Lonchura striata: one gene and its partners. The main gene of each other region encodes a partner of the protein of the gene in region 2 in a complex. Links are inferred from orthologs where the notes say so. Each region holds a gene or a part of one and is shown on either strand. Other genes may lie near its edges. The genes, in order: NF2, LATS1 and WWC1.

What was found.
Region 1: the proteins of LATS1 (region 2) and NF2 are in contact, whole or in part, in a crystal structure (PDB 7LWH), measured with the Homo sapiens proteins. The link is inferred for Lonchura striata from reciprocal best matches to the Homo sapiens genes LATS1 and NF2. Residues at the interface, in NP_004681.1 of Homo sapiens: Pro69, Lys70, Phe71, Gly72, His74, Ala77, Leu78, Glu80, Ile81, Arg82, Ser84, Leu85, Phe88, Ala89, Asn90; in NP_000259.1 of Homo sapiens: Pro135, Glu136, Ala137, Val139, Leu140, Tyr144, Asn175, Leu176, Tyr177, Gln178, Met179, Met183, Trp184, Arg187, Trp191, Glu206, Ile210, Asp213, Leu214, Glu215.
Region 3: the proteins of LATS1 (region 2) and WWC1 are in contact, whole or in part, in a crystal structure (PDB 6J68), measured with the Mus musculus proteins. The link is inferred for Lonchura striata from reciprocal best matches to the Homo sapiens genes LATS1 and WWC1. Residues at the interface, in NP_034820.1 of Mus musculus: Ala546, Glu547, Ala548, Pro549, Ser550, Tyr551, Gly553, Pro554, Pro555, Pro556, Pro557, Tyr558, Leu562, Leu563; in NP_740749.1 of Mus musculus: Asp17, Tyr23, Ile25, Asp26, His27, Arg30, Thr31, Thr32, Ser33, Trp34, Asp64, Val67, Tyr70, Ile72, Asp73, His74, Lys77, Thr78, Thr79, Gln80, Ile81.

What each region holds. Positions count from the first base shown.
Region 1 is NC_134620.1:2,944,047-2,951,619, forward strand, and holds the start of NF2 (merlin), read right to left. Parts: upstream 3,292-7,573; 5' UTR 3,249-3,291; coding exon 3,135-3,248; intron 3,069-3,134; exon of another isoform or gene 1,866-3,068; intron 1-1,865. UniProt on the Homo sapiens protein: Probable regulator of the Hippo/SWH (Sav/Wts/Hpo) signaling pathway, a signaling pathway that plays a pivotal role in tumor suppression by restricting proliferation and promoting apoptosis.
Region 2 is NC_134605.1:57,529,524-57,536,758, reverse strand, and holds the start of LATS1 (serine/threonine-protein kinase LATS1), read right to left. Parts: upstream 3,246-7,235; 5' UTR 3,171-3,245; intron 2,765-3,170; exon of another isoform or gene 1-2,764. Other genes in the region: nucleoporin Nup43, read right to left, coding at 4,920-5,134, 6,348-6,470. UniProt on the Homo sapiens protein: Negative regulator of YAP1 in the Hippo signaling pathway that plays a pivotal role in organ size control and tumor suppression by restricting proliferation and promoting apoptosis.
Region 3 is NC_134617.1:13,832,196-13,839,437, reverse strand, and holds the start of WWC1 (protein KIBRA), read right to left. Parts: upstream 3,034-7,242; 5' UTR 2,950-3,033; coding exon 2,831-2,949; intron 1-2,830. UniProt on the Homo sapiens protein: Regulator of the Hippo signaling pathway, also known as the Salvador-Warts-Hippo (SWH) pathway.

The DNA of each region.
Region 1 (7,573 bases), on a different chromosome or scaffold from region 2:
CATGGCTGTCCAAGGTTCTCAGGAAGGTGAGGCTTTAGCACAGGAATTCAAGAGCTGTGCAAATGTCTACCCTTCCTCCAGATGTTATCAATTAATTAGGTACAGCTCAAGCCTCCAAGATGGAAGTAGCCAAAGGAAGACAATTCAAGATTTCCCCAAACAAATCTGAAGTCTTTAAAGTGAAACCCCAACCGTGATTATTAATCCCCATCACTGTGTTAGAAAGATTAAGATTTCATTTCTAGGAATTATTTTAGATTTAGGCTCAATTTAGAGACGTCAACTGCAAAATAAACATGCAAAGCAGGTTTAATCCCTTAAAATGCACAGCTGGGGATTTCTAGGGAGCAGACTGAAAAATTAACACTGAGAAAGAAAGTGAGTCTCCAGCAGCTACAGCTGGGTCATGGAATATCCTGAGCTGGGAGGAATCCCAAAGGATTATGGAAGACCAACTCCAGACATCCAACAGATCAGCAGCTCTCTGTCCCTGTCAGCACGAGGTGCCACTCACAGGCCACAAAAACACATCTCAAGAGCCCCCAAACTGCAGGATTCCCACTGCACCTCCTTCCTCTCATCGTCCCAAGTGGTTGTGAGGCAGACTTCCCTCTCCTTCCTGGCCAAAGGCACCTCAAAGCACACAGACAGCTGTGTGAACAGAGCTGCTCACTCTTTTCTCTTGGCAAACCTTGGGACAGGGGCCAGACTCCTTCAGGGATGAGCAGCCTGACCCAAAAATCAACTCTGCCACCCCACTGACTCCCAGGAGGGCACAAACTCCACTCCTGGCTCCAGGTCCCACTGTGGGTGTAGAGCAAGCTGAGCCCTTCCCTGGGCCACCTTCCCACCCCAGGCACTCCAGGTGTGTCTGATCCCTGTGCCCCAGGGATGCTTCTGCAGAGTCAGCACAGTGAGGAGCTGTCCCCAGAGCAGGACAAGAACTGGGACAGAGATCCAGCCAGGGAGCTGGACAGCTCAGATGGAGCTTGGATAAAAGCCACACCTCAGAAAGCCACAGAGATGCTGCAAGGGCTGGAGCCCCTCTGCTCTGGAGCCAGGCTGGGAGAGCTGGGGGTGCTCACCTGGAGAGGAGAAGCTCCAGGGAGAGCTCAGAGCCCTTCCAGGGCCTAAAGGGGCTCCAGGAGAGCTGGAGAGGGACTGGGGACAAGGGATGGAGGGACAGGAGACAGGAAATGGCTCCCACTGCCAGAGGGCAGGGATGGATGGGAGATTGAGAAGGTTCCCTGTGAGGGTGGGCAGGCCCTGGCACAGAGTGCCCAGAGCAGCTGTGGCTGCCCCTGGATCCCTGGCAGTGCCCAAGGCCAGGCTGGATGGGGCTGGGAGCAGCCTGGGACAGTGAGAGATGTCCCTGCCCATGGCAGGAGGTGGAACGGGATGAGCTTTAAGATCCCTTCCCACCCAAACCGTTCCACGATTCCATAAAAACTCACTCCTCACCTGCAAGGTGTGAAACAGCCCCATCACCCACCTGCATCCATCTATCCCCCCTCCTGCTCCAATATTCCCTGCTGAAGGACGAGCTCTGAATTCCCTCTGCATCCCCCCTGCACCAGCTCCACCACAAGGAGCCCCCAGCAGGGCCTGAGCTCCTTCCAGCTGCAGGAGTCCCTCTGCAGCAACAAGTTCTTTTGGCAGGAACCTCCCAGGAAAGTCAGCTGGAGATGCAGCAGTTCCACGGCCAAATCCCACGGGAATGCTGCACAAACCCCCCTGATCTCAGCGGGAAGTGACACCCGAAGTGACACGCGGCCACAGCACTAAAATTCACATTTATTTACTTTCCACCATCAGTTATTGCTGCAGCCTTGGGAAACCAGGGAAAACACAGCCAGGACACTCACACTCTGCTGGAAGTGGGAAGCTCACACGGCTGCCCAGAGCAAATCCTTAATCCCAAGGAAAAGCAGGAAGTCCTTCAGGGCTGAGAGCAGATTTCCAGAGCCAGGAAATCGGTGATGACAAACTCCCCTTGGCTGATGGGCGCTGGGATTCTCTCAGGGTTTGGGGCAGGATAATGAAATATAAACTATTAAATGCAGAGGTTGGAGAGGGGTTTCAGTGTTCGTGTGGCCAATCCCTCTGGATCAGCTGAAAAAGCAAAGTTTGGCAGCAACGCCCTGGGAGAACGCCTTACAAGTTCCAAGGGCCCCAAAAAGGGAAATTATCACAGAAAAGCCAGACCCAACCCCCCGGAGCATCCCTCAGCTTCATGGTGAGCTAAGAGCTCAGGAAAATGCCAAAATCCTGTCCTTGGGTGTTTGTGGAGCACCTGGGAGTTGGATTCCTGTGGATTTAAGCCTTGACACAGAGATTCCTCAAGCCCTGTGACAGCCACAGTGTAGTGGTGACTTGGGCTGGGATGGCAGGACAGCGCTGGATTAGAGCCCAAGGGAAGCTGGATTGTAATGAGAATAAAGCTGAATTATAACCAGGATAAAACTGAATTATACCCAGAATTAAGCTGAATTATAGCCAAAGTATAGGATTAATTATAACCAGAGTAATGCCAAATTGCACCCAGGACGAGATCGAATTGTAATCGAAATGAAGCCAAATAATAACCCAAATAAAGCTAAATTGCACCTGGAGTGAAGATGAATAATTGCCAAAATAAAGCTGAATTATAACCAAAGCATAGATGGATAATAACCAGAATAATGCCAAATATACCCAGGCTAAAGCAAAATTATACACAGAAAAAAAGCCAATTTATGACCAAAACAATGCTGAGTTACACACATAATAAGGACTACTGACAACAACAACTAAGCCAAACTATGATCAGAATACAACTGAATTTTACAAGCAATAAACACTGAATCACAACCAAAACAAAGCCAACTTATGACCAAAGCAAAGCCAAATGGTACCGATTCATAACCAAAGTAAAGGTGAGTTATTAACCAAAGAAAAGCCGAATTGTAGGCAGATTGTTGTGCAATTATAACGCAAATGACACCAGGATAAGGCTGATTTATAAGCAGAACAAGGCCGAGCCGCTGCCGGCCCAGGGAACCGGCGGGGGGGGCCGGGAGGGACCGGAGGGGCCTCAGGGCTGGGGGGTGGGGGCCGGGCCCTCAGCGGGACCCCGCGCCCGCGCGGGCCGTCACCTCGCAGCTGAACTCCATCTCGGCGTCCATGGTGGCGATGCGCACGGTGAAGGTCTTGGGCTGCTTGCGCTTGAGGGAGCTGAAGCTCATGCGGGACGCGATGGCCCCGGCCATGGCGGCGCGGCACGGTCAGCGCGGCGGCGGCGCCATGGCGGCCCGGCCCCGCCCCCTCCGCCCCGCCATTGGCCGCGCAGCGCGGCGCGCCCGCCCCTCCGCCCCTCCCAGCCAATAGAAATGGGTGTGCTGAAGAGGCGGGAGGAGAAGCGGCTGTGATTGGGTAGTGGGGACGTCGCTCAAGAGAAAGGGCGGGGTGAGGCGGGGCCATGAAGAGCGGCGTGAGGAAGCGATGTGGCGGGGTGGTGTCGCCCCCTGGTGGCGGGCGGAGCGCTCTGCTGGCGGGGACGAGCGCCAGGACCCGGCACCGGGACACCGGGACACGGGAGGGAGGGACACGGGGACACCGGGACACCGGGACACCGGGACACGGGGACACGGGGACACGGGAGGGAGGGACACGGGGACACCGGGACACCGGGACACCGGGACACCGGGACACCGGGACACCGGGACACGGGGACACGGGGACACGGGAGGGAGGGACACCGGGACACCGGGACACCGGGACACGGGGACACCGGGACACCGGGACACCGGGACACGGGAGGGAGGGACACGGGGACACCGGGACACCGGGACACCGGGACACGGGGACACGGGGACACGGGAGGGAGGGACACGGGGACACGGGGACACCGGGACACCGGGACACCGGGACACCGGGACACCGGGACACGGGGACACGGGGACACGGGAGGGAGGGACACCGGGACACCGGGACACCGGGACACGGGGACACCGGGACACCGGGACACGGGGATACCGGTACACGGGGACACCGGGACACCGGGACACCGGGACACGGGGACACCGGGGCACCGGGACACCGGGACACCGGGAGACGGAGAAACGGGAGGGAGGGACACAGGAGGGAGGGACACGGGGACACGGGGACACGGAGACATGGGAGTCGGGGAAACGGGGACACGGGGAAACGGGGACACCGGAACACTGGGACATGGAGACACGGGAGGGAGGGACACGGGGACACGGGAACATGGGAATCGGGGACACCGGGACACGGGAGGCAGGGACACGGAGGCAGGGACACCGGGACACAAAGACACGGGGATAGGGACACGGCGACCCCGGGACACGGGAGGCAGGGGGGATGTCAGGGGACCCTGGCGTGTCCGGAGCCCGTGGGGTGTCAGGGGTCCGCGGGGTGTCCGGGATCCAGGGATGTCCGGCGTGTCCGTGGGGTGGCCGGGACCCCTGGTCAGTGGGGTGTCCAGGGTCTGTGGGGCCCGGGGTCCCCGGGATGTCAGGGGTCCCCGAGGTGTCCGGGTGTCCGGGATTTGGGGGTGTCCGGGGGGTGTGCAGAGCCCGTGGGGCGTAAGGGTCCTTGGGGTGTCAGGGATCGCTGAGATCTGAGGGTTTTGGGGGTCCGTGAGGTCCTTGGGGTGCCCCCAGTGCCATGGGGTGTCCCCAGTGCCATGGGGTGTCCCCGCAGGACGGGGTTCCCTGGGTGACACGGGGTGCTGCCCCCTCGGTGGTTGCCGGGGCGAGGGGACCCGCGCGGTCCCGGGGGCAGCCGAGCGTGGGGGCAGAGACTGGGACCAGCGCCCGGGGCGGGCGGGGACACGGGGCAGGACCGGGACTGGGATTGGGACAGGGAAAGAGACCGGGATAGGGACCGGGACTGCGGCCGGGACTGGAATCGGGACAGGGACAGGGACAGGGACCGGGGTAGGGACCGGCACTGCGGCCGGGACTGGGACAGGGACCGGGACTGGGACAGGGACCGGGACTGGGATCGGGATCGGGATCGGGATCGGGACCGGGACAGGGACAGGGACAGGGACTGGGACTGGGACAGGGACCGGGACTGGGAAAGGGACCGGGACTCAGACCAGGACCGGGACTAGGACAGGAACAGGGACAGGGACTGAGACAAGGACCGGGAGTGGGACAGGGACCCGGACTGGGACTGCGGCTGGGAACAGGGACCGGGACCGGGACAGGGACCGGGGCCAGCGCGGCGCAACGGGCCGGGACTGGCAGCACTAGCGGGACATCGGACGGGGCTGGGAGCAGGACCAGCTGCGGTAACGGAACCGGGACCGTCCCTGGGATGATGGGACGGTGAATGGGACCCGTCACCAGGGCAAGGGGACGGGACCGCCGCCCCGATCGGTGTGGGATAACGGGCTGGGAACTGGGACGGGCACGGGAGAACGGAACAGGAACCGGGATCCGCTCAGAGTTACCGGCACGGGGATAACGGCAGGGACTGCGATCAGTCCAGGGACACTGGGATGGGAACTGGGACCAGTTTAGGGTTCCTTGGACAGAAACCGGCACCAGCACAGGGGGACGGGGCGGACCAAAATCCGGCAGGAGCAGGAGGGGGAAGGGAGCAGCGGGAGCCGAGAAGCCCCCCCGACACCCCTGGGGGGACTCAGGCGTCCGGGAGCAGCCCCCGCCCCCGCAGCGGGAAGAACGGGGCCTCTGTCCTCATGGGGACAATGGGGACATTGATGGGGACCCCCCCGCCCCCCGCTGCACCCGCAGGACCCCCCATGGCAGAAAGCGACGACCCCGCCCGCCGGGACCCCGCTGGCCCCCGCACCCAGGTGGAAGAAGGGGGTGGGGGCAGCGAGGGGGAAACTGGGGAACCACGGGGGGATGGGGGGGTCGGAGAGGCTGGGGGGGTTTTGGGGAACCCTGGGCACCCGAGGGAGCTCGAAGGGGGCATGTGGAGCATTGGGGTGTGCGGGGGAGCCCAAGACTCCATAGGGACTTACGGGGCACAAGGGGGGGGGGGGGGCTCTGGGCAGCTGGGGGGGCATTGTGGGGTGCAAAGATAAATAGGGGTAGGAGGGCTGGGGGGCTGTAGGGGTGCTGGGGGGCCCTTCCTTGGCCCCCCGCAATGGGTGACCCCCCTGCCCAGCCCTGCCGGCCCGTGCCGAGGGTCCACGCCTTTGGAAAGGGGGAGCAGGCGCTGCGGAGGGACCCCCGCAGCCCCCCCGCCATGCAGGGCTGGCTGCACAAGCAGGTGAGGCAGGGGGCCAGGGGAGGGCTGGGGAGGGGGCTCAGGGGTCGTACGGGGGTTTCTGGGGGGTTTGTGGATTTTGGGAGGACCTGGGGCGGTGGGGAGGAGCTGGGGGGAGGGTCTGGAGTGTCAGGGGGTTATGGGGGTGGGTGTGGGGCTCGGGGGAAATCGGAGGGACTTGGGGGAGGTCGGTGGGGGGTGAGGGAGGGTTGTGGGGTCTGGGGGCTTTGGGGAGATCAGAGACACGTGGTGGGATGGGGCAGCGTGGGGCGGTCATGGGGTCGGAGGTGGAAGAAGGTGCTGGGGGGTTACGGGAGTGAGGAGCTTGGGGGGATCGGAAGGGATTGAGGGGTCTGGGGCAGCAGAGGGTCCCGGGGGGGGGGGATGGGCTGAGGGGGCTCAGCCCCCATCCCCCCACCCCCGCTTCTCAGGACAGCTCGGGGCTGCGGCTCTGGAAGCGCCGCTGGTTTGTACTGGTGGATCTCTGCCTCTACTACTACCGGGGTGAGAGGGGCACGGGGGGCTGGAGACACCCGGGGGGCGTGGGGACCTGGTGTCCCTGGGAGGGGGGTCAGCGATCCCGGGGTGTCCCTGGGTCACTGGGGGGTCCCGGGGGGCTCAGGGGTCCTGGGGTGTTGGGCAGTCCTTGGAGAACCAGGAATCCTGGGGGAATGGGGGGTCCCTGGGGCAGTCAGGGATCCCAGTGGGATCAAGGATCCCTGGGGCATTTGGGGGTCTATGGAGGAATCAGGGAATTCTTGGGGATTTGGGGGGATCTCTGGAGCATTGGGAACTCCTGGTGATTGGGGTCTCTGGAGCATTGGGAACTCCTGGAGATTGGGGTCCCTGGAGCATTGGGAATTCCTGGGGATTGGGGGGGGTCCCTGGAGCATTGGGAATTCCTGGGGATTGGGGGGGGTCTCTGGAGCATTGGGAATTCCTGGGGATTGGGGGGGGTCTCTGGAGCATTGGGAATTCCTGGGGATTGGGGGTCTCTGGAGCATTGGGAATTCCTGGGGATTGGGGGGGGGGGGTCTCTGGAACATTGGGAATTCCTGGGGATTGAGGGGGGTCTCTGGAGCATTGGGAACTCCTGGAGATTGGGGGGAGGTCTCTGGAGCATTGGGAACTCCTGGGGATTTGGGGTCTCTGGAGCATTGGGAACTCCTGGGGATTGGGGGTCTCTGGAGCATTTGGAATTCCTGGGGATTGCGGGGGTGTCTCTGGAGCATTGGGAATTCCTGGGGATTGGGGGTCTCTGGATGGATCAGGGATTCCCCAGGATCGGGGCTCCCTGGGGGTTTGACGAGGTCCTTGTTGGGGTTCT
Region 2 (7,235 bases):
GTTAAGTAATTTTAAAATTTATTTTACATAAGGGAAAATGAGAGCAGAAAGAGAAACAAAGAAAATTTTTATCAGTTTTTTTTTTTTTACTGAAAAATTGTTTAACAACTCAAGCATCAAATTCACTGAGAGCATAGCTATGACATTTGGTAAGGGAAACAGAATTTTCTGCCAAAAGCCAAATAAAAAACGTTTGCATTTTGAAGGCGCTGACTCATCAGGGAAAGAGCCCTGTGTGTGCAGAGAACTCAAATCTCTGTGTTCAGGCTGGGCATTAATTATTACTGCAACTGCATGGCAAAGGATAAAGCAACCACAGTGAAACACTGAAGAAATTGCAGAGCATTTGCCTCTTTAGAATACCATGGAATTAAACTTTTTCAGTCCGTACTGTTTCACAGAGGAAGATCAGTTACTAAGATAGTGCAAGATAAACTAAAAGCTTCAGCGCTGTCTTTTCTTCACAGGCAACAAAAATGTTGAAGCCCAACACAGTGTTCCTTCACTACTTGTTGCTAAGCATTTCTGATATTAGACATAAATTAAACAAGTACCAAAATTTTACAGTCTACAATAAAGTCACTCTTTCTTCATTCAGGTTTCATTTCTATAATACTTGCACTGTCACAAACCAATCAGTGATCAAGCAATTGAGGAAGAATATGACAAGTTAATAGGAAAAAGAACCGTCTGAAACACATGCAGATAATATGAATTAAATACTCATGCTACCTATATATAAATAAAACCTGAAAACTAGGAAGTAATACATAAAAAAGGACTGCAAAAAGTAACACTGAAGGTATATCCACTTAATCCCATTCTCCTTGGAGAACCATTTTAGAAATAACAGAATTTCTCTTATGAAACTTTCTAAACCTTAAGGGGTATAACTGCAACCACAAGCCTTCTTTGCACTGTGATAGCTTTGAAACCTTAAATGAGTGTAGTTGGGGAGCTATATGTTTCTTTAATACAGTCTGATAGCATCTAATTCTTCAGTGCTCACTGAATAAGGAAGAGATCATCAGACATGAGTGAATTTTAATAATCAACAGTGAAATATTGCCCAAAGTATTAAGAAATCAGCAGAAAGTAGAGCATGAGAGCTATTAAAATGTAATTTAATTTTGGCCACTTTCAAAATAATTTTCCAAACATGCCGTATTTAAGACCACATTGAAAATACTTTTTCCAAAGAAAATTAAGTAAGAACTTGACAAAATACCCATACACAAGTTTTTAACAAATTCCAAAGGCCTGGAATTCAGGAGAAAATGGGGTTTTGCACTGACATATTTTAGAAATTTCATCTGGTATTTCCATATTCACTTCATAGTTACACCTCGGGTAGCTGGCATAGATAAATCTAACACCCTCTAGGAGAAATCAAGGTTAAATTAACAGGAAACTAAAATCATAGATCAGGAGCAGTCTTGGGAAATAAAGCTGCACTCCAACTTAAATTTTTAGCAGCAGTTTAGAAGTGTAAACCAGCCAGTCCACTTATCTCCCACCACTTACCACAGACAGCATAACTGTAAGGTCAGACAGACAGCATGAACCAAGCTAAGGAACTTAGCCAAATAAATAACATTTTTTGGTGGGTTGTTCCTTTTGACAGCACTGATGGGTACCAGCATGTACATGTGAAACTAAGTCTTAATTCTTAGAAAACAAATTAAATTAGTCCTCCAGAGAACAGGAATTACTAGAGTTTACCTTGCTTTATATATAAATCTCAAAACTCAAAAGTCACCTCTGCTTATAGACACTGGCACACATTTTAAAGGAAGAGAGTGTTGAGTAAGTATCTCAAGTGAGTATCCAAACTTTGTACTTCTAAGTACCAAACACCAACTGTACCCAAGAGAACTGATGTCTATTCCCTCTTGTAGTTTTGTGTCCTTAAATAATCTGTTTGTCAATGCAGCTGTTTTTGCTGATTAAATTTTCTTCCCTAAAGGAATTGAGGAATTGAAAAAAATAATCTTTCACTTCTTTTCAAAATATGGGAATACAGTATTTTCTTCTACAGGTCAAACTGTAAGGGAAAAGAACGCCCATCATGTTTTTTTCTACATTATAATCATAAAAGATTGGACTTATATTTATATAAATGCTTGGATGAAAGCTCAGAAGTGTTCAGGGCCAGGCCCGATGAGGCTTGGAACAACTTGGTCTAGGGGCAGGGAGCTGACAAGAGATTATCTCTAAGGTCCCTTCCAACCCAAACCAGCCTGTGATGCTCTGAATGGCAACATGCAACTGTCAATGATTCCCATGATTTTCTGAGGGTAAAAATACACAGCTTTGTAATCTAACTTATAAAAATAAGTTATAAAATTTCCTTATAAAAATACTTTCAATGCCCATATTGCCAACTGAGTACTGAACATCACATATTAATGTATGTAGGTGCCCTCCCTCATGTACCTATTGTAAGAGCTTATACATAATCACAATGCTTCATTGCTAGGGATAAACAAAGTAACAGAAACCTCACAAATCATAAAATTAAGTTTGTAAGGACTTGTTCAGACCGACTAAAGGAAGCTCTTCTTTCAGGTAACAAGCCATTGAGCTGCAACAGCAATTCCCCAAAAGGATGCACTTCCAATGCAAAAAGTTTTCATAGGATAAGGAGAAAACTGGACCCCCAAATTAGCACATAAGCACAACTGCATATGGTCAGAGAAGCCAGAGCTGGGAAGAACCAGAGACCAGATGAACACTAGGAACATTGGTGCACTCGCTCGGTTTGTTTCCATTCTTACGCTCTGCTATCTCCTTTAGCAGGATGCAGCTTCTCTACGTACACATGTACTCCCGGGAGCAGCAGGAGTCATTTGAGGCGCACCTGGGAGCGATCTTCAGGGCTAACACCTGCAGGGCAGCCAGAGCCCCGCTGCGCTGGCTCAGGCCGGCACGGATCGCTGCAGGACAGCAGCACCCGGCTCCCAAGGACCAGGCAGGCAGGAGGCTTTCCCGGCCGGGAGGAGCACCCCGAATGTACCCCGCTGGGACACCAGCGCTTCTGCCGCCTCGCCGGCCCCAGGCCGTGCCCTGACGTCGCTGCTGCCACGGCTGCGTCCCGCAGAGGCCCCAGGACGTCGGGCCGAGCGGAGCGGGCCCGCTACCGCCCCGGCCCCGCGCACGGCGGACTCTACCTGAGGCGACAAGGCGGCGGGGCAGCGCCCCGGGCGCCCGGAGCTCGGCCCCGCCCGCGCGGCGCCGACCGGCCGCGGCCCTTCCCTTCCTTCCGCCCTTCCTCCGCCCCTCGGCGATGCCGGCAGCGCCCGCTCGGTCCCTCCGCCAGCGCCCGCCGCCGCCCCGGGCCGCTCAGTTCGGCGCCGCCATTTTGTCGGTGTCCCCGGCGCGGAGCCGCCCGGATGTGGGCAGCTCCCGGCCTGCCTCGCGCGGCTCCCGCCGCTCCCGGATGGAGCTGCGGCCCGCTGTAACCCCTGCGCGCCCGCGCAGCGCGGCTCTCCCGGGACAGCGCCGGGCACCGCGGACAAATCCCCATCTTCTGGTTTTCCCATTCTCTTTTAATGGGGAGGAGAAAGTTCCGCCGAGCCTCGTGTTTCAACTGATGCCCGAATGATGGACTCGTTACAGACCAACAGGAAGGAAAACCCACCGGTTAGCGCTTGGCGTGATCCATTTCATTTCCATCTTTTACATTTCAAATAAATCGGGAAGCAAAACTTTAAGCTGCTCTAAGGAGCTCACTGGCAACTCAGTACACCTTGCCCCACACAAAGGGAGGACTGCCCTGTCCCCAGCGCCCCATCCAGCTCCTGCAGCCAGACACACACAGATGTGCATCAGGTAAGGTGTTCCAGCCCCAGCAGACCCAGGCCCCTCGCGCCGACGTGATTTAAAGTACCACTCTAGAGTGGTTATGGTGGAAATGCCGTGTAACACCTCATAACTAACCTGTTCCTGCCCAAACACAGAGGTTTCTCCATCCTTCAGGCTCAATACCCAGGCTCAATCCAATTACATTCCTGCAAGCACAGCTATTTGAATTATTTTAGTAAGTCAGACAACTACTCTTGTGCAAAACTTTTTAATAAAAAGAGAAAGGGCTCTCTGTAACAAAAAGCAGATACAATGCTAATAACAAAATTTAAAACTTTACAAAGATTTCAATAACCCAGATGTGAATTTGTGACAAAGACTATGTCTCAAGTTTAGAAAGTCTTACTTTTACACCTGAAAACACAGCCAACACATCTGTCAATTATTACTGAATTATAAACCCCATTTTTCTGTTTGGAGATTTACTGGTGTATTATCAAGTTTTAACATGTAGCATCCATGATGAAGCTGTGAATAATTCAAAATAATGTTGCTATAATGCTCAGATTCCTATAGAACCTTTCACATTTCATAGCTTTAACTGTTTTCCTTCCAACTCATGAACCAACATAAACAGTTATGTTCCCCTATATATATAAAAACTCAGCTTAAAAAAAAAACCCATCTCTTTCAGGTGACATAAAAAGAATTTCCACAAAGCCCACGGTTTTGCTTTAGAAATGATACTTGAAAAATATCTTTACAGGGAAAAATAAAAATTCAGGGTTTACCTTTTCTTCTGTTTTTATGCACATGTGTATTATGGACATCACTTTGCAGCAAAGATTTTGCCCTTAGTGACTACTTTCCTGCTTGTCAAAACTAAGCAGGCAGTAGGTAAGAAATGGCATGTAAGCTTGCTCAGTTACCCATCCTGGAGCATCAAGTGACAGCTGTCAGAATGTGAAGTACCTCACTTCTTCCACAGCACCAGGACCAAGCTGATGCCTCTCCCACACACGCCAACAACAGACTAGTGAGTAGCGTTAAGAATGAACCTGACATTTCCCAGTACTTCAAGCTGGTCAATACTTCAAAGGGATCCCACAGTCACTTCATGCAAAAAGGTGTCTGTTCACATAAATAGCCTCCGCGTCAGTACCATATACCAGGCATGGTCCTAGAACGTCTAAACTATTCACAGACAAAGTCTGATTTGGAATCAGGTTGGTGATTTCCATGCGGTCTTTGGTCGGATCACTGCTTAGCCAGGCACTTACTACAGACTGGTTAATGGTACTGTGGGAAAGATAGGCAGTGCTTCTTCCTCCTGAAAGAAGGAAGACAAAGAAATAAATTTCAATTCTGTTTATATATTCTCAGAATTTGGAGAAACACAGTAGATATGGGTCAGACATAATGAAAATATTACATTTAAGTCAGTTTTCAGAGTAGTTGAGATGTCAATTAAGGAAAAAGAAACTTTAAAAAATCAAGTACTTGAAATAATTACAAAAATTATCTACCAGCTCTACCCTCAGTTAAGACAAATATATCACAACAGCTATTAACTCATCTCACCGGACGGTGTAAGTACCTGCAAGTTTCTTTAGCCAGATACTAAAGCAAGGGTACAAGAACACGTCTGTTTATAGAGTGTCTTCCTCTATTTGGGGTTTTCAACTTGCGACAATAACACTTATTCCCTACTGCTCTTCCTCCATACTTTGCAGCAAGTGATAAATCTGTATTTGACTTTGAATTTTTCAAATTGAAGTCTCATACTGTAAGAACCATCATTCAGCATAAGATTAGCAGGTGTTGGAAGTGATGCTGAAGGATTTATACTTCATATACTTGAAAACATGCAGAGTCCAACTTGAATTAGTAATCCTATAATTTCCATAGATAAAACTTTGAATGACAACTTTGAGGCCAAAGGCAACAGGTGACATCTAAAAGTTTCCCCACTATTGTCTAATGTGGCAAGCACTTAGCAGTCTTTGTGATTAGAATGTGAAAATAAATGCATATATTAAAAGTCAGTATCATAACTTTAAAATCCTGCCACCATGCAAAAGGATCAAAAATGTTTCATTTATTGAAAATTCCAATTATTACCCTGAATTGTAAATTCATAATTCTACTGTCTCATTAACCTATCAATTATTTTTGTATTCTAAGTTAGTGTAACTCCCTTGGAGACTCAAAAATGTCAGTCAGGCTGTCTCTGTGTCTTTTCTACATACAGATGATTTTTAAGTGAATATAGTCTACCCTTCACACATTGGTCAGAGGGTAGCAGATTAAAAAAAACCAAACCAGACCATGAAAAGCCCTGCACAACTGTTTGCCGTATAAGTAGTTTTTCTCAAGTGTTTATCCAAGAAAAGTGCTTATCTAAGCTTGCTTTCTAAGAAAAGAAAGCTGCTTTTAATTTTCTGTATTAAGATTGTGTTATTAATTGGGTCATGTGAGAACACTGACTGTAATGATGTTACCAACTGACAAATTCTGTGCAGATGGACTTCAAACATCCTTACCTTGATGAAGGAAAGATGGTTTTTCAGATACATTTGTGGAAGTATCCCAGTGCCAAAGAGATCCATCTTCAGAACACGTGAATAAATGATCAGGGTCAGAGGGATGGAAGTGAACTTCCCACACTGGAAATATCAAACAGAACCACTTTAGAAGAAGTCTCAAGTACTTCAATCAAAGTATTTGGATAGTATGATATAGACATGTATTTACAAGAACCCATGCCTCCATCAAAACCTTTCATTTTTAATTGAAAGGCCCCATCCTAAGTTATATACTGCAGTTTTCCCTCTGCTGGCAGGGGTAAAGTGGTAGAGAAGAAAAACAAAGAAAAAGATGCTATTTTGTTGCATTTTTAGTACTGTGAAAATTGTTAAGGTCTTATGTGAATTCAGGCATTTTGCATACTATCATGTCATATTCCCTCCTGCTGTTAAGTTTAAATCCGCACATAGCGTGCATTCCTTCCCAGGACACACATTATTTTGTGTCTAAATACCACAACTGCAGAAGACATTTAAGTCAGTAAAATTTAATATCAAGAAATACTTTTACTCCTTTAATTTAAACGTAGCATCAAATCACAGGATTTTCTGCATAAAATTAATTGCTGTCCTGTTCACATAGTTACCAGGAAAGTGAGCTGTTTCAGCACTGTGAAGACAACAAATGAATGCTGAGTCTCCCCTTCTTCCTCATTTTTTCAAGTTTGTTAGTATCTGCATTTTGCTTTACTCTATCTGCACTAGCTTCCATGGTTGTGTATACAACTACCCTGCTAGAAGCACAGCCGTTCTGATCAAATGCATCTAACAGCTCATTAAAGAATTGCTTACTAAGTCTACTTTTAGTTTAGAGTTCACTTTTATATAAAAACAGTCTCCTATACA
Region 3 (7,242 bases), on a different chromosome or scaffold from region 2:
TCAACAGATCTACCAAAAAAGGCAGCTATGTGAGCTTCCTCTTACAAAAGGCAAAACACAGCAGAATATGGGTTTTCTCCCCACCTGTTCAGAAGAATTACCTTAGAGCTTTTTAACCTGAAATTCCTGCAATGCAAAGTACCTTGTTAAACCACACCACAGGCTCAGCAACAGTTAAATCACAAAACTCTTCAGATTATTTAATCTTAGATTATTTCCCAAAATGTTCCAACATCCACAGGCTTCGGAGGACACCCTGAGTCTTAAACAAGGTAAAAGTGCTCTGACATGCAACTGCTTCAACCAAGGCTCCAGGCACCTGGGCATCACTTGGGTCAGCTCTGCAGGATAGCGAGATGCCACCAGGTGCCAGGGACCTCCTCCTGGCCAAGTCTAACAGCCCATCAGCAGGACTGGAGTAATGAGTTAAACAAGAACTGGAAAAGCACCAGCCCCTTCTGATTTGACAGCCCAGGGCCAGCTGAGGTCCCACCTTTCACCCTCTGCCTCTCCATCCCTGCCACAGCCCACAGTCAGGTCTGCTTCCCTGGCAGCCTGTTAAACCAACCTCAGCAGGACTGCAAACCTGCTGCCACTAAACAATGGCATGGCTCATGCCCTGAAGGTAGATAGTATCCCTGCTCATGTTTATTTCCACTAAATTAAGCTAGAATGAAATATTTAGGGAAGGTTTAAACATCTGTGTTCTATCTTTCACTTGCTACTCGCTGATCAGGTTTACAAAGGTCCCTGCTGGCCCTGGGTTCAGAGTGAGCCCTAACACACTTCTTCCTCCACATTCCTCAAACTTGCATTTCTACAGCCATGCTACCCATTACCTATTGCTTTATGCTGGGTTACAGACAGAATGTGTAACAGCACACAGAGCACTGTAGCAACTTCACAAACCCACGTATCAGCTGCAGCAATTTTAAATATGACCTGTAAAAGGCTAAGCTTTCAATCATTTAAACTTTAAAATACAGTGATAAAGTTCAATGTGAATTGTGTAAATGCAAGTTCACTCCCCTACAGGGAACAGGCATCTTATGATCTGATGAAAAATCCCCTATCAACTGGGCTTCACAGGCAGTGGTAATTACTTGGAAAAGAAACTTCTTTCCTGTATGGCGGAGAACAATTTCAGCTCATCAAAGCTCATGGTCCACTAAATGATGGGTAGGTGTTGGGTCATAGTTGTTCTACTGTGGACCAGCAGATTCTTCAAAACCTTGTGGATTTCCAGGGGCAGTTCCCTTGGTAGCAGTACTGGAAGATGACTCAGATGCAAAGCTCGTCAGGGCCACGTGTATTCAGGTGTATTTCTATGTGCACAACAAGTGTCATGCGATAAGAGTTATCAGAGTGTGTTTGATTATTCTCCTCTAGCAGCGGTGAGCAGGTAGATTCTGCGACAGCTCAGAACACATGGCTAAATAAGGCACCCATTTAGTCATTTCTGTCATTCTTGAATCACTAGCCAAGGACACACAAGAATTTTTATAAGCCTGCATTAGGCCTATTAGATTTCTCACTTGTCTTCATTCTCTGAACAAAATAAGGATGCCAGGAAAGCATTTCTAATTTTAGCTTCCATTGACTTTTATGAAGGTTAAAGAAACAACTTGGAACAACTCTGTTACTGGCCCTTCTCAGCCACATTCCTAAAACTGAACCCCAAGACGAGTTCCAAAGCCCTGGCTGGCAGCAGGTTACATTTGTGTACAGTACACACAAGGATTATTCCTGGAATGCAGAACACTCCTTGAAATCTTGTAAAACTGGACAATCATTCACTTCCATGCTTAACAAAAAGCCCATCTAAGTAAACGGAGCAAGGCAAAGTCCTGACATCCCACCGAGAATGGAAGCCCCTTCAGGGAACTGATCGCTAGAGCAAGGGGAAGAAAAGAACACAGATTCAGAAATTAACCTTTCTGCCCCACAAGGAAAACGCTCGCTGTCAGATGGGGAAGTGTGTGAAATTTATCAACAACAAACTGCATAGTTCAGATTGTTGGAATTTCCAACTCGCTGGGATGGATTTTTGAGTTCCTGTTTTTGCGAACTTCACCTAACAAAGTATTAAATGAGAAATTTAAAAACTTCTAATTTCAGTAGTGATTGAGTAGTTGAGCTTCCTGCACGTCCAAACTCCCGTGCTCTGGCTCACCATGATTGCCTCAAGCATGGAACTACAACATGCTAGGACAGAGTGTTGCTTGGAAATGACCTCGGTATTGAGCAGCACCCTGTTTTCTGTTTATCTTACTTTTCCAAGTCAGCGCTGCAGGAAAAGAACTACTCGGAGCGAGCAGGAGCAAGGGGATACCGCAGGGAAGGCGGCGGCAAAGAGGGGCGATCCGAGACACACCCTGAAGTCAGTGACCTCCGCGACGGCCAAGCTCGATGAGGCCACGTAGCTGCTCGCAGAGATGAGCCACGATGCAGGACAGGGCTCGTTGAACCCTCTGCGACCCCACCTCGTCCCGAGCCCCCGCACGGAGCCCCCGCTGCTCCCCGGGCGGGCTCCGAGCCGCAAGGGCCGCATGGCCGCGCCGCTCGCAGCGTGCGCTGCGGCTCCGCAGCACGGCACGGCCGGGCCGGCCGCGGACGGAGCCCGCACGGCGGCGACACGACCCGCTGAGCCCCCTCATCCCTCCGCTCCCGGTGCTGGCCGGCCGCCGCTGCCCGGCCAGGCCCGCAGGTAACGCCGCCGCGTCCCGCCCTGCCCTGCCGAGCCGCGGAGCCCGAGCGGAGCCGCGGGACGGCGGCGGGGACCGGCCGGGCTCTGCCGCACCCCGCGGGGACCCCGCCCGCCGCCGCCCACCTGTCGCGGGGGTCGACCCAGCTGGTGGTGCGGCTGCCGTGGTCGATGTAATACACCTTCCCGTCGTAGTCCCGCGCCTCCTCCCAGCCCTCGGGCAGCGGCAGCTCCTTCCGCGGCATGGTCCGCGCCGCCCCATGCACGGCCGCGCTGCGCTCCGGGGCCGTGCCGGGGCTCCCCTCCCGCGGGCGGCGCGCAGCGGTGCGGGGGCCGCGCCGGCCCAGCCGCGCAGGGAGGCGCCGCCGCCGGGCAGCCTCACATGCCGGCCCCGCGGCGGGGGCGGGCCGGGGCGGGGCGGGAGGGCGGCGGCGGCGAGCCCGCGGTCAGCGCTGGGCGCGGAGCCCCGGCCGCTCCGCCCGCTCACGCCTCCATTTCCTGCTCCGCCGGCGGCCGGCCCGCGACTCCGCGGCGGCACCGCCCCCGCCCGGGCCCGCCCCGGGCCCGCCCCCGCCCGGCACGGCCGCGGCCCGCTCGGCCCCGCGGGCTGCGCGCCCCCGAGCGCCGCGGGGCAGCCTCGGGGCTCGGGGCCCCGCGGGGCCGGGGCACCGGGCCGGGGCCGGGGCTGCTCGGTGCCCTGGGGGACACGGCCGCGGGGTGCCGGTGCTGGCATCGCACGGACGGGCGCAGCAGCTCGGGCGCCCCTGGGCCCGGCTCCGGTGGCACTGCCCTCGGGTAACCCGGCTCGGCCGCGGTGGGCTCCCCGCAGGGCCGGCCGGCAGCCAGGAGCCATGGGAGCAGCCCACGGGGGTGACTTTCTGTGGGTTCCAGAGGGAAAACTCCTGGCAGCCGGAACCTGGGTCCACTCGGACCACGGGGAAGCCGGGTTACAAAAGTAGCTGGGGTGGCACAGACAGCCCGGTACAGCCGCACGCCGCAGGGACGGTGATGGAGCCCGCCCCGCGGGCACGGACCCTTCCCGAGAGCCGCTGCCGGTGCCTGAGCGTGGCTCCGGCACAGCTGCCCTGCAGCATGGAAGCAGCGATGAGGACATGCCCTGCACAGCCTTCTCTCCCATTTCAGTCATTTGGGCTGGAACAGACACCCGTGACAAAGTGTCACAGTAAGAGCTCATGGGTGGCACGGGATGGGGCCGTGGGCTGCGGCGGGTGATGTGCCCAGCGTGGCAGGAGCGCACTTGTGTGTGAGGTGGCACTTTCCTGGCGAGCAGCACCAACGCCGCCTTCCCCCTGCCGAGGGCAGGGGCAAAGCGAGAGGCTTTGTAGAGCTGCAGCTATTGAAGCGCAGAATGGAGCAGGGATCCCTGCCAAGCACACGGGTGGAAAAGGAGACTGGAGGATGGGAAGAGGAGAGCCTCGAAAGGCTGGAGAGGAAAAGTAAAAGTGAAAAAGACAATTAGAAATAACATCTCACTTTTGTGGCAGATTCTGTGGGATTTTTCCTATCAGGCTTTCTGACAGCCTGCTGAGAGTCAGAGCTGCTAATCCTCTGGAGGCCGAAACAGAATGTGGTAGCAGTTGGCCGATGAAGTGGTTGAGCAGGGAAGAAAATGAAGACAAGTAAAATTGAAAGTGAGGCATTTGGAAAATAGCCTGGTTTAACCCCATTTTATCTGAAGCCAGACTTGGTGTGAGCTACTAAATAAGTTGCTATTATGAACAACACTATACACAAGGCTTTTAAATTAATAATAAGTGAAGACTAAATGAATAAACACTGCTTCTGTCCACAGCTCTGAGCAGGGCTTGTGGTTTTTTTCGGCAGGGAGCACTGGGAGCAGCGCCACTCCAGCCAGCAGACACTGGCAGTGCTGGGAGCCCTGGGCCCGCGCCAGCGGAGGGCATTGCATTTCTGTGGGGCACTGGGCTACTCACTCTGGCTGTTAGTTTCTCTTTTCTGCTTTTAATTTTGTGGATAATCGTGTTTCTGTCTTTGTAAAGCGCTCAGCAAAGTGCTCAAGACATTTAAAAAGGGAAAATGTGGCAATAAGAAAAAAAATCAGCAGCAACCAATGCTTTTAAATATTACAAGAGAAGTAAACAGCAAAGTGATAATAAATTATGATGTGTTTTCATGGTCCTGTTTTTGTGGTCATATGTTCCAGCATAGAGGCACTTCCAAAAGGCATGTTTATTTTAAAGTTTTTTCTTCAAATTTTCAGAGCATATTTAGAGCATATAGCAAAAGGCTGTATGTAAAGAAGCTGACTGAATACCCTTTTTTTTGTTCCAGATGTCATCAACTCTATTTAGGAAGAAAGTATTTGTGCATTTTTTTTTAACATAATTGCTTTTGAAATAAATACCTCAGAAAATATTTGCAGGTAGTTCTGACTCAAGTCAAAAGATTTTATTTGTCCACTCCTCTTTATTTATTAACTCAGAAAAAAACCCAACCTGTCGTTGAACCATATGAATTTACAAACGTAATCAGGAATGTGCATATGATAACTTACTCCCTTTTACCACTTACATTCACAACAAAGGAATTCAGCGTTATCAGAGTCTGTTTGAACTGTAAAACAATAAACAAACAGGTGATTGTTTTCTTGTGAGCAAAGAAGAGGGCGATTTGGTTTGTAGGTAAGCTCTTAGCTATGTGAAAAGGAAGAGCAGAGCAGAGAACAAAGTCTGCAGAAAATGAATTTTTTTTTGCCCTTCGGTCAACATCTCCAGCATGACCTCATGTGCTGCACCCCAATCCCACCAGAGTCCACAACAGGCTGGTTACAAACTGCTCAGTAACAGGAGCTGTCTTTATCTGCTGCTGTTTTCTGTTTTAGAGCAGCTGGCTGCTTGATACTTGGGTTTCTTTTTTCCTAATACATTCAAAAGTCTTTAATTTTGTACTTGACACCTGAAGCTCTATTCTTAATTGAGTGCAAATAACAAAAACTCAAAGGTGAAAAGTGGCTGAGGCACAGTATTGGTCTGTTAGCTAACACCTTCAGATATCTGAACTGCAATAGGAGGGAAAATGGGTTTAAATTCGATTACCAGAAAGCAATTACATTTAGCCAAAATGCTACATTTTATTTAAAACCGCCAGTATTTTTCAACTTGAAACACAGTATCATTTCTGTGGAGAGCTCCCTTACTGTTCTAAAAAGGCCCTTCCCTATCCTGCCCACCCCCAAACTGTATGTCAATTTGTTTCCCTTTCCAAATGCACCTTTATTTTTTAGAACAGTCAAAAACGGGTTAGGAGCAATGGAACATTTCATTGTGGAAGTAACCTGAAGCCTTCCTGCTTTCAGAAGCTGTTTCCAGCCCAGCAGGAAGAGCAGAGGTGCCCAGGAGGCAGGGAAGAACGCACACAACCTGCTGTACTTTCAGTACCAACATGAAAGGGATTTTCTGTAAACACTGGCAAAGCCACTTCATTGTTTTCTTTCAAACTACTCCTTAAAAGACCCATTGCTGGAGGCCTTAAATAAAAAGCAAAGGCAGCTGGCATCCGCAAAGCCATCCTGCTGCTCTGGCAGGTGCTGGCTGCACCATGCCTGGTGTCCCACTGGTCCCAGCACCCCTCGTTCCAGATGAGACATCTGTCCCTGTGTCCCTGTGTCCAGTCACAGGGAATGTGTGGCACAGGGCTGTCCCACGCAGGGCAGTGTGGCCGAGGAGGGATGTGAGGGATGGAGAGGGTCACATCTTCCTGCGACAAGGTCACCATTAAACACAGGTCATTAAATGGGATCCGTGCAGCAGCTGGGTTCCCCAGTACACCAGGAAAACTGCTGGCTGGATTTTATCTTCTTGAAAGTCAGTCATAAGAAGTTTCTGAGTAGTTTGTTCATGAAACAAGATGCAATAGAATCACACAGATTCATTGAGGCTGGAAAAGACTCAATGGTGGTCAAGTCCTCAGTGGTGAGGCCATTACACAGGGCTCTTGTGACCCGGGGGGAGCTGCTGCAGTCTGTGGGACAGACAGACTGCCTGGCAGCCACTCCTGGGTCAGGGCTCTACCAAGCCACGGGTCACTATTCACACCATTGCAAATGTTCAGGCCATTACCATGGGCAAGGCTGGCTCTGACAGGGCAGCATCCTTGCCAGCATCGTTTGCAGGGCAGGAAACTCTGTCAGCCGGGCTCTGCCTCGGAAGGACAGGATACAGTGCAGGACACCTTTGACAGCTCCTGTGATTCCTGCCACAAACACGTCACTCGGCTACAAGTTTACTCTGTGCTGCCTTCCCGATCCTTGGCACTTTGTACACCTGCATCAAAGATCTTTATCTTTCAGCAAACAAGCCTGCAGCGAGGGAATAAATTCCTGACTATGACCTTTGGGTGCTCAGATTTTTTTTCACCTATGAACAAAACAGGTTTAGGTGGGTTTTTTTTTACCCCAAAATAACCCTTATCTCTGCTGCTTTATTAAGCCCTTTTGTGCCCACTGGAAACACTGGCATCATCCCTTGACATTGCTGGGAAGTTCAGGCGCGTGTGTT